3 linked regions of the Elephas maximus indicus genome follow. The protein of the gene in region 3 purifies or fractionates together with the protein of the main gene of each other region. This does not show direct contact. Links are inferred from orthologs where the notes say so. Each region holds a gene or a part of one and is shown on either strand. Other genes may lie near its edges. The genes, in order: ARHGEF12, SH3BP4 and GIPC1.

Region 1 (3,744 bases), on a different chromosome or scaffold from region 3:
TTTAAAAGCTACACAGCCACTGTTAATTTACCAACAGCTCTAGAATCAGCAAAATATACAATACACTGGAGTTAGACAGTGAGAAAAGAGGATGAAGTAGGTAGGGCTGAGAGGAAACGAGTGACTATTCTATGCTCATAACTTTGTGAAGGTCCCCCAGCTCAGAAATACTACGAAACCAGTATTTCCAGATTTCACCCCAACATCTGTTCAAGTCAAGGACGACTATTCTCCTCAAGAGCTTGATGTTTACAGGGTAAGATATTTACAGAATAAGAAAGGCTTAAAGAAAATGTAGTGGTCACATAAGAACGTATTTTGTTCAAAAAAAAAGCTCGTATGTTAAAAAAAATAATAATAAACCCCTGAGAAATAGGTATCCATGCTGTCTTAGCAGCGCTTATTAAATAAAGCTGGTTTTAAAAGGGTTTTGTTTTTCCTCCTAAAAATATGTAAAATCAGGCAACACCTGAACCAGTTCAAGGATATTAATACCTAAACTAATCTGCAGGTTAATCTTAGAATACTAACCTTTCGTGCCTAGCACAGTGCCTGGCTTTCAACGATTGCATACTGAATGTCTATACCCCACACCCAAATTATAAAAAGGACACAAATCTCAAGATTATAATTTCTAAAATAATGAAAATATAAAGAAAATCCTGGGAAGCAAAGTTGAAGGTCATTATTTGGATGCTTTTTTTTTTTTTTTTAGGTGATTTACGCGTGGAATAAGCTGGTGGCCCTAAATTCTGTTTCTGTAAAATTAAACACCTCTAGCATCACAATAAAAACTACAAACACATTAGTTCCTAATCAGACTTTTTGTCCACAGGCTCAACAGACCGAGCAAGAATTGAATGAAACAGGAAAACAATTACCCACAGACCCGTGAAAGTGATTTCTCAGAAGCAAAACACCCTGAAAGGAAAAAGAAATGAGGGTAACGAGAAGAAAGCACATTGAATGTGCTCTCAGAAAAATAAAAAATGATTTAACTGAAAATTAAAACCCATTTTAAAGACTATGCAACCAAAGAACGAATATAAATAGTTTAAACATTTAATGGAATCTTCTAGGTGAACATTCACATGACACTGGAAAGCACCAACAGGAAGAGGAAGTCCTTCTGTTTCTGGAGTAGCTGTTATGGTATGATAATGGAATTTGGCCCTTCTAAAAACAACAAATTAGTCTTACAATTGGGTGAAACGCTCCTATTAGGAAATTCTGCAGGACCTCTATTGTTGCACTTTCATCAAAGTGTTTTTAAAAACCTGGCCCTCTAATGCAGTTATCTGATCTATTTTGTGTGTGTGATGTAACAGTTTGAAGGTTGACTTAAAAAAAAAAAAGCTGAAATTTCAGTTCAGAATACAGTGCCATAATTAAATCGAGCATCAAAATGTGGCAAAGGAATAAATGTACTTATATCTCTTCATCTACTATTGAGAAGAGTAACTTAAGACTGATAGAGGGTCTCTTCAACCAGACACCTAGTTCAATTCACCAAACAAAGGTGCAACTTCGCTGGGTACTGTAACAAAGAATTCAACGAACCCACCTGCTGCATTTGTACTACATAAATCACCTAGGGTTTTTACAAGCCCTTAAAGGCAAATGTTTTTTTGGAAAATGAAATACTAAAATATAACAATTAAAATCAAGTCCCATGATTTTCCCTCATTTTTCCCCAGCTCCTTAATGCTGCTTCCAGCCAGAGGCTGTGATTTACTGGCAATTTTAACATTCTGGAAAATTATGAGATAATTAAATATTGTGTAAGTCAATACGTAAGAGAGATCAAATTCATAAATCACCATGCAGCAGGCTCAAGATCAAGTTCACGGATAAAAATTCCTAAAATATAGCAGTGTCTAGAGGATCATGGGACAGGAATCACACTGATGAAGCACCAATACCCAGCTGACTTTAGGCACTGACCTTCACCCAAAATGACCTTCCTCTGGTTCCAAGATGAGTACAGAATACTAAAACCCCTACAAACAGAAAACCACAATCTCGGTTTGACCTACTCCTTCTCTGGGACTCTAGAACAGTTTCTCTCCAGAAAAACGAACATTTCCAAACTCAGTCAGCCGATAACTTGGCAGCAACCCTAGGCTATTCGAACAGCTCCGCAACAACCCCCTCTCCCATGGCTGTCAACTTCTCTGGGCAAAGGCAATGGGCATCGCTGCCTCTCCTGCGGGGGCCGGCCGAGTCTAGAAGGCTAAGCGAAGGAGGAGCTTCATACCAACCTGTCGGTGATAGTAGACTGTGTGCCACTCATTGGGGCCCTTGGCGAGAGGTTCTCCTTTTATCCAACTTGCATTTTACAGTAACACCTCCACCCCACCCCCAATGCTCTGGGATCAGGCCCGACTCCGTAAGGGACACAGAAGTCCAACTCAAAACTCCATTCAGTCATCTAGAACATCCGATTGGAAAGGGTCAAGGAAAGGGGCTATGGGTTGGAGCAAAATCAGTTATCTCCCAAAACAAACCGAGAAAGTCAAGCTCGCCAGAAGGGGCGTTCTAAAGCTAGCGATAAATCCTCAAGAAGGCACAAGGAAAAAACTTCGTCGCAGTGGGAAGTCCGCGCGCCGTGGGGCAGGGGGCCCGGGGAGCCCTCCGGGACCGGGGAGGGATCAGGTCGGGATGGGTGCCGGCTCCTCCTCCGGCTCTCGGGGGCGCAGACCGCCGGCCGCGGCAGCCGGGCCCGCTCGTCTCCGCTCTACCGGGGGCTGCCGGCGGCTCCTGGCTGCAGCCTCGGCAGCGTCTCGGGCCGTCCCGCGCCAGGCTCGCGCCGCTCCATGTCCCCGGGGCGCAGGACCGCTCTCGTCCTCCTCAGCGCCCGCGCCAGGCTCCAGGAGCTGGGACGAGCCGCGCGCGGCTGCTGGGGCGGAGGGGGTCCCGCAGCCAGAGGTGACAGGGGCTCGGCTCTCTCAGCGCCGCGGGCTGCTCCCCATCCCTGTGGGCCCGGTCTCTTCCGCAATCGGCACAGGCGGCGGCGGCTCCTCCCCGACGCTCCGGTAGGCGGTGGTTCCCGCGAGGGGCGGGAGGTTCCCGTCCGGCCCGGCCTGGAAGCGCCAGCCCTGGACGCCCGCGGGCGGAGGCAACGGAGACTCCGCGCAGGGCCCGCTCGCCGGGTCCTGGGGGCCCTCGCGGGAGCGCGCGTGGGGGGCGGGGAGCACGCCGGCCGGGGGGCTGCGCGGCTGAGCGCGGGCGCGCGCGCGGGTTCCGGTTCCGGTTCTGCCTCCCCGGCCCCAGCCCCGTCCAGCGCGAGCTCTCTGTCCCCTCCCCCGCCGACTTTTTTGGCCTCCTCCCCTCTGACTTCGGGAAGCCGGCTCACTCGGGATCCCTCCGCCGCGCTCCGAGCCGTCGCGCTGCCCTCGCCGCCCCGCCAGGTCTGAGATTTCGCGCCGCCCCCGCACGGACGCCTCCGCCGGAGCCTTGTTTGGAGGAACGAAAAAGTAGTTCCACGGGGCGGAGGGAGGTGGGAACCGTCCTGCCCGCGGGAGTCCCACCCACACACCCACCGTCGCCCCCAGCGCTGCAGTCTTGCTGAAGTCTGGCGTGTAGTAACTCAGCTTTAACTACAGATCGCCAAAGAGCACTCCCACAATCCCGGGGACTTAATAGGGGCTCTTTGGAAATACCTCCCACCTTGTCCTAGAAACTTTTATTCTTTGACTGCACCGGTTGCCCTTATTTTCTAAAAGCACGTATAGAATGTTTTTG
Region 2 (3,744 bases), on a different chromosome or scaffold from region 3:
AAGTTCTTGCCACAAGGAAGGGGTCCGTTCATTCACTGAGCCTCTATTGAGGGCCTACTGCGTGCCAGGCAGGCTCCAGGCGCGGAGACAGGGTGGGGCACGGCCAGGCGAAGTCAGAGCAGAGCTCTGATTATTGACGCGAAGTGTTCATTTCGTCGTCGGCTTACAGGAAGCTCGCCTTCCTTTGTAATTAATAATGAGAATGCCTTTTTCTGCATTTGCCCCACAGCCCCTCAACGCTGCCTTCCCTACAGTAGGTCCTGGATGAAGGGGTTGTAGGCAGGAGTCCCAGCACTGCGCGCTACCCGCCGCGCCCTCGCCCTGCGCTCTTGCTGTTCCTCCCAGGGGCTCCCCGAGACGGCGCGGGCAGGATAGGGCGCGAGGAGCAAGGAGCGCGGCCAGAACCGCTTGGTAACCGGGGAGCACGATTCGGGGGCCGTCCGGCTGCTCGGACCCCGAGTCCCTGGCTGGCGTCGGGAGAAGGAGGAGGAGGAAGAGAATGCAGACCGGGACAGGGGGAGACAAGGAGGCGGGAGCGTCGCGGGGTTCCGAGACTCGCGGCGCCCTGCCCCCCCGCCCCCCGCGCCCCGGTCCCGGCCGCCACCACCTCGCTCCCAGGCCCTCGGCCCCGCCCGGCATGGGGACCGTCCCCCCACATCGGCCCCACCCTCCGCCCTGCTCCGGGGACCACCTCCCACCCCGCCCCGGAGCTAAGACCTCTCCTCCCCAGGGGCCGTGCCCCCAGAAAGCCCGCCCTCCGCCCCGCCCCGGGGACCACCCCGCCCTGGGGACCACCCCGGCCCCACCCCCGCTCTCGGCTCCGCCCGGCGCGGGGGACCACCCCTTCATTGGCCCGCCCCTTCCCGGGGACCGCCCCCGGCCCCGCCCCGGCCCCGCCCCGCCCCGGGGACCACACTCTGCCGCGGAGGCGGGGGCCGAGCGCTCCGGGCATCTGGGCGGTCTCGGCCCCTCGCCGCGGCCGCCGTGCTTCCCGCGGAGCCGCGCGCCCCCACCGGGCCGAGCGCCGGGCAGCGAGCACAGCCGGAGCCGCGGGGAGCCATGCAGCCAGGTAGGCGACCCGGAGCCGGCGGTCGGGGCGGACTCGGGCGCCCCGCGCGCTCCGCGGGCCCTCGGCCGGGCGCGGGCGATCCCTGCGGACCCTCCAGCCGCGCCTGGCCTCGCCTGGCCTCGCTCGGGCTTGGGGCTTGCACACCCTGGGGGCGCCCATTTCCCCGCTGCCTGAGTTCGGGGCCCCGGGGCAGCCCCGCGCTCCCCTCGCCGCCCCGCCTTGCGCGGGTCTCCCCGAGTGGCGGGCAGGCGGGGGTCCCCGGCGCTGAGCCGCGCTCGGAGCTCCCGCGTGCGCCCGGCCGGTCCCCGCCCCATCGCCGCGTTTCTTCTCCCGGGCTCGTAGCCCTGCGGGGACGGCCCCCTAGCCGGCCGGGCGGGCCTCGGGGAGCGAATCGGGGCGCGCGTTCGGCTCACGGGGTCATGGGGGCGGCTGGGGCGCTTGGAGGAGCTGGGGCGCCCTCCTAGCGCAGCTTGGGAAGGAGGGAAGGACACGCGGTCCTGGATTAAACTTGTTGGTGACAATGCACATTTCAAGTTCTTCGGAGAACCTTTGTTTTAGGATGAAAATCAAAACTCTGGTTTCTGGCTTGGCCGTCCAGTGACCAAGCAGCCGCGAGGGGAGAGCGCGGCGGCCTCGGGTGGGGAAGGGCTGGGATAGAGGCAGGTTGTTCCGTAGGTGATGTTGACGGGTAAACCCGCGCCTCAGTGCGGTCTAGTGGTCTGTTAGGATACCAGCCTTGGAGTCCTCGCGGCTCTTGGCCCGGGGCTGGCTCTGCAGCCGGGGGGACAGGCCCGCGCATGCCCTTGCCCCTGGTGATGGGCGCCCCGAGATGCCGCGGTTGCAGGCTGGGCCGGGCTCTTTGAGCGCCGGCAAGAGTTGTGGAGCCCAAGAGGGAAAAGAGATTTATAAAGGAAACTCAAGTTTAGATTGGTGGTGTAGTGGTTAAGAGCTATGGGTGCTAACCAGAAGGTCACAGTTCAGATCCACCAGGCGCTCATTGGAAACCGTGTGGGGCATTTCTACTATGGCCTATAGGGTCACTATGGGTCGGAATCAACTCGAGGCAAAGGGTTTTGTTTTGGTTTTATTTTTTGTAAGTTAGTGCAGCGAACTGCTACTGTGTACTTTATCAGTGAGAAAGTTTGCTTAACTTTAGTTCTGATTACAAATGCAATATACTCATGGAAGCAAACGTGGACATAAAGAGAAATGTACACAGCAAAGCTGAAACCATCCCTGAGCCCACATTCCTAGTAGCCCTTAACATTTTTACAAAATCAGGACCACAGTCTTGCAAGTTTAATCATTAAAACTACAGCGCAGCCTTGTCAGGCAGCCAGCCGTTGATCCTTAAACCAGAGTAACCCCACTATGCAGCGTTCCCCACCTTCTAAACATGATGGACCCTAAGGACCAAAGTTTGGGTTGATGGGCCTGGCTACCTCCCCACGTAGAGTCTCCATCCCACCTCTGGGCCCGAGAACTTTGGCCCAGGCCCGGTGCCTCTGAACCTGCCCTGTGGTTTTGATTCCTTGCCTTATAAAAATGAAGGCAGTGGTTCTGACTCTGTTCCTCAGGCCACCACAAAAATTAATGAGTGGTTTGTAAAGCATCTGACGTCTTTGGATGGGCCAGCGGCTGTACTTTACGTGCCAGGGACCATTTTGCTGGTCCACATTGCTGTCATCATCCCATAAAAGAGCCTCTCTCCTACCTGGCCATCCTGACCAAGAACAAGACTCCAGGAATGGCTGATGGCGCCTGGACCAGAACATTCCTGGGTCCTTGGTCAGTGTAGTCTGGCCAAGGGTACATCACTCAGAAAGTGGCAGAGCCTGGAGGAGACCCAGCAACCTCGAACGGCTTGTGCGTGGGGTGGTGTAGAACAGGGTTTTCTAACAGTAAAGGGGTATTGGTGTGATACTCAGGCAGGCCCCCAGTGGCACACTGCCTGAAGTTAGTGGAATGCTGAGGCTGTGCTTATCAGAGGGAACAGTTAGTTCTGGGAGAGAGGCTCGGGAAGTGGACAGACCTGGCTTCCAAGGGATTTGTTTTATGGCTGGCTTGTTTACCAGATGAACAATGACCAGCGTGGAGGCCTGGGGACGGTGTCCTGAGAAGCTTCTGCAAGCTTTAATTTTTGTATTTCCTGTTTTCCCAAGACTCCTGTACCACCCGCTGGTGTCCTTTCAAAACCAGTAATAGCAACCAAAAGCCCCAGTTAATTTTAGCTACTGAAAGCCCAAGTAAGAAGAGCTGCCTCCCAGCCTGCCTTTTGTGTCTCCTGCAGAGAAACCAGGCTGGAAGATCAGCTTTCTGTAACAGGTCTCCTGGGCTCCAGTTCCTCACTTGATGCTTTCATTGTTTAATTGTTGCTCCCGCCAATACATCGATCCGATCAAAGTCTAGTAGCTGATCACAGCTCAGGGAGGGGCATTTGTTTCCACTTCTGCTCTGGAGAGAAAGACCTGGAAGGTGGGCTGGATAAGTTGCCTACAGAGTGTCCTTAACCCTCTGTGTTATCTGTTAATATGCTTTTAAGTTTTCTGCAAGAGGGGAGGAAGGGGCGCCTTCCTGGATTTTCTCTTTGACTGTTTGCTGAATTGATTTCTGGTTACCCACGTTGTTTCCCTCTGAGCTGTTGGAGAGATTTAGTGTTTTATTCTAATGTTGAT
Region 3 (3,744 bases):
TAGGGCAGTTTTACTCTGTCCTATAGGGTTGCTAGGAAACCCTGGTGGCGTAGTGGTTCAGTGCTACGGCTTCTAAACAAAGGGTCGGCAGTTCAAATCCACCAGGCGCTCCTTGTAAACTCTATGGGGCAGTTCTACTCTGTCCTATAGGGTCGCTATGAGTCGGAACCAACTCCATGGCAACAAGTTTGTTTTCAATAACTAGATGCTTAGGGGGTGCTCCTTGGAAACTCTGTGGGGCAGTTCTACTCTGGCCTATAGGGTCGCTATGAGTCGGAATCGAATCGACAGCACTGGGTTTCTGGGCAGGGAGCCCTGGAGGGATAATGGTTAAGCACTTGGTCAGCGGTTCAAACCCCCCAGCCGCGGCAGAAAGATGCAGCAGTCGGCTTTCGTAAAGATTACAGCCTTGGAAACCCTATAAGGCAGTTCTAAGTTCTATATAGCCCTACAGGGTCACTATGAGTTGGAATCGACTGGACAGCAACGGCTGTACTAGATGCTTTCCTTAGGTGTGCTGTATCTCCCCGTCCGACCTTCAGCACAGGCTGTTCCCTCCGTGAGAAGCATATTCAGTGATGTGTCTGCAGAGCTAAGACAAAGCCTGGCACGGAGCAGGAGCACATTAAATATCTGATGAGTGAATGAATGAATAATTGCCCTTGTCCATTGTGCACCCCCAGGAAGCAGGGACACTCGGGAGCCTCCCTATTCATCTCGGTCCCCGCACACGCACACAGGCCTGAAATGAATGCATCCTTTTATCCACTCCGAGGATAGCCAGAATGGAGCAGGGGCAGGCCGGGAGGGGGAGTGGATTGGTGGCTGCTCTCGGCGCCCTCTCAGGCCTCCTAAAGAGTCTGCTTTTCGGGACTTTGGGAGTTCTCATCCTCTCCGCGAAATTCACCTTCGTCCACCTGACTTCCACGACCAGCGCCCCAACTCCCTTTTCTGCTGCTTACCACTCAGGACAACCCAGACCGACACTCAGCAAACAGCACGTGGTCCAGGGGTCCCAGCTTCCCATTGGCCGCTCGCCTTTTTCCTCCCCAGCGATTGGCCTGGGCCCAGCCACGGTCCACCCCTCCGCAGCCCCACGGTGGTACAGCCCAGCACGGCCCAGGCAGGCGGGACGGTCCACTGCTCCGCGGTGCGGGGGGGGGTAGGGAAGAACCGGGTGAGGCGGAGGGATCCCTCTGGAATGTTTTCGTCGGACCCACCCGACGCGCGGCGGTGCGGATTGGTCGCGAACACTGGGCCGCAGCAGCTGATTGGCCGGACGCACGGTGTGGACCCCGCCCCCTGGCCGCGGCTGCGGCAGAGGCCCGGGCCGGAGTTTGCGGAGGGCCGAGAGGGGCGCGAGCTGGTAGGAGGCGGCGGCGGAGGCGGCGGCGGCGTCGCAGGTGAGTATACCCTGGGGAGGGTCGGCCGCTCGAGGACCCCGGCGGGGACACGCGGGTTACACGGAGTCGTGGACGCGAAGTAATACGGCCTACCGAGCGATGCGGCGCGCGGGGTGGGGTCGGCCCCGTGGAGCCCGCTGGAGTTCGAGGCCCGGTGCTGGGATGTCTGAGGCTCCTTCCCAGCGAGGTGCGTCTCTTCCTGTCGAGGGCAGGGGGCAAAGGCCTCTCCGCCTCCTGGCTGGGTCTCAGGCCGCAACTCCTGTCCCCCTGGGCAGCCCTGTCCGGCTGGGGATGGGCGCAGGGTCGGTATTTCTGCCCCCTGCCCTGGCACCTCCCTGGAACTCGCCGCGTGTCTCAGCCCTCCAGGGGCTGGGGGGCTGGGGAGCCGGGGAGAATAGAAGTCCCGATACTAATCATGAAGAAATCACACTGGCTAGCATTTATTGCTTCCGCGTCAGGCATTTACCATGGTATCATGGAGTCTAAACATCTCGTGGGAGGTGATGCTACTTCTTTTGGAGGTGAGGCAGCAGCGCCAGAGAGGTGGAGAGACTCATCCAAGGTCACACAGCTGGTCAGTGGCAGAGCTAGGACTCGAACCCATGCTTTTCAAAATCCAGAACTGGGGTTTCAACCACCAGACCAGATGGCCTGTGGCTCCATAGCTCAGGCGTCCCTGTCTGGTTCCTCTGCCAGCCAAGCCCCCCTACCCGCACCCCACATACACCTCACCCAGCCACACCTGCTGGGCTTTTCATCCCTCACCCAGAGGTCACTAAACACCAGCCACTCGAACAGGAAGCTGCCCTCGTGTGCCTTCTCCACTGAGCTGGAAAGGGAAGATACAAATACCTGGGTCTTGAGAAGAGGTGACATCTGGGGGATGGGGGGCAGATGGGCAGGGGGCCAGGACGCTGGGGTCTTGTGCCCACTGGGCTCCCTGGGCAGCCTGGGCCGAGACTAGAGCAGTAGGCATTTCCCCAAGAAACACCCAGGAGCCGGTTTTTCAAGGCTGAATCAGAGGTCTCCCGCCCTCCGTCTTGCCAAAGCAATAACACTGCTGGAAGGGGGAGCCTGGGCGTGGTGTCCCCTCCAGCCTGTGTGAGCTCCCAGGAACCCCCTTCCCCACTTCCTACTTCCTCAACTGTGCTTCTGTGTGGCTCTGGGGTTGCTAAGTTTCCGGCCTTCCCAGGGATGAAAGGGTGGGAATACTGGAATTCGGGCCACCCCACTCTGTGCCAGGGCTGAAGCTCTTCTTATCTCTGTGTTCAGGTTCGAGGGGAGACTCTGGGAAGGCAGGGAAGTGGCAGCAGTTAGCAACTCCACAGTAGGCATGGTGGGGCACTCTTCTAAGAATGGGGGGCTCAGAAAGCAGAGTAAGGACATAAGACATTCATTCATTCATTCCATAAATATTTATTGATCATCTACTATGTGCCATCTACAATGGCACAGAGGGTACAAGACAGGCAAAAATCTCTGCTCTTGGGGAGCTGGCATTCTAGTGGGGGGGAGCAGGCCACAAACTAACAAGTAAAGGAGGTACCTTCAGATCGAGGTCAGTGCTATGAATAAAATATAAGGGGGTGACATGATAAAGAGTTACTGGGAGCACGGGGGGGTGGCTCTCGGAGGAGGTGATTATGGAACCAAGGCCTGAATGACACAAAGGAGCCAGCCCTGCGAAAATTAGGCTGAGGGCAAAGCCAGGGCAAAGGCCGTGATGCTGGAACGAGCCTGGAACAGTGTGATTGGGGAGGAGGAGACAGGGCCAGAGCATTGATTCTGCAGGGTTTTGTGGATCACAGTAAGGAGTTTGGAGTTTTTCCTCCGTGAGGTGGGAACCGTTCTAAGGTTTGAGGCAGAGGAGTGACATGATCTGGTTTATGTTTTAAAATAGAGTCATAAAGTTAAATAACAGCCCAAGGCTGGAAGATAAGAGTTTTGCCAGGGCAGCTTGTAATTAAGTTCATGGGCCTGAGCCTGCTGGACCACAGAGGCTGGGCCACAGAGGCAGTTCCAGCAGGCGGGGGCAAGCAGGGGAGGCTGCCTGGAGGTGGTGGCTTGGAGTTGGTCTTGGCAGACAGAGGACTGGGATGTTCCCGTGCAGGGTGGGTGAGGGGGCAATAATAATAATAATAACTCCCTTAAATGGAATATTGGAGTCCCTGGGTGGTACAGACAGTTCATGCGCTTAACTGCTGACCAAAAGGTCGGAGGTTCGAGTCCACCCAGAAGCACCTCAAAAGAAAGACCTAGCAGTTTACTTCTGAAAAATCAGCTATTAAAAACCTGATGGAGCACAGTTTTACTCTGACACACATGGGGTCGCCATGAGTCA

Evidence for each region.
Region 1: the proteins of GIPC1 (region 3) and ARHGEF12 purify together in Homo sapiens (co-immunoprecipitation; 4 studies listed by BioGRID and IntAct, with this or other methods). This does not show direct contact. The link is inferred for Elephas maximus indicus from reciprocal best matches to the Homo sapiens genes GIPC1 and ARHGEF12.
Region 2: the proteins of GIPC1 (region 3) and SH3BP4 purify together in Homo sapiens (affinity purification with mass spectrometry; 4 studies listed by BioGRID and IntAct, with this or other methods). This does not show direct contact. The link is inferred for Elephas maximus indicus from reciprocal best matches to the Homo sapiens genes GIPC1 and SH3BP4.

The regions. Positions count from the first base shown.
Region 1 is NC_064835.1:12,969,915-12,973,658, reverse strand, and holds the start of ARHGEF12 (rho guanine nucleotide exchange factor 12), read right to left. Parts: upstream 2,338-3,744; 5' UTR 2,294-2,337; coding exon 2,262-2,293; intron 1-2,261. UniProt on the Homo sapiens protein: May play a role in the regulation of RhoA GTPase by guanine nucleotide-binding alpha-12 (GNA12) and alpha-13 (GNA13). Acts as guanine nucleotide exchange factor (GEF) for RhoA GTPase and may act as GTPase-activating protein (GAP) for GNA12 and GNA13.
Region 2 is NC_064824.1:137,113,631-137,117,374, forward strand, and holds the start of SH3BP4 (SH3 domain-binding protein 4), read left to right. Parts: upstream 1-917; 5' UTR 918-1,069; intron 1,070-3,744. UniProt on the Homo sapiens protein: May function in transferrin receptor internalization at the plasma membrane through a cargo-specific control of clathrin-mediated endocytosis.
Region 3 is NC_064821.1:33,083,719-33,087,462, reverse strand, and holds the start of GIPC1 (PDZ domain-containing protein GIPC1), read left to right. Parts: upstream 1-1,293; 5' UTR 1,294-1,403; intron 1,404-3,744. UniProt on the Homo sapiens protein: May be involved in G protein-linked signaling.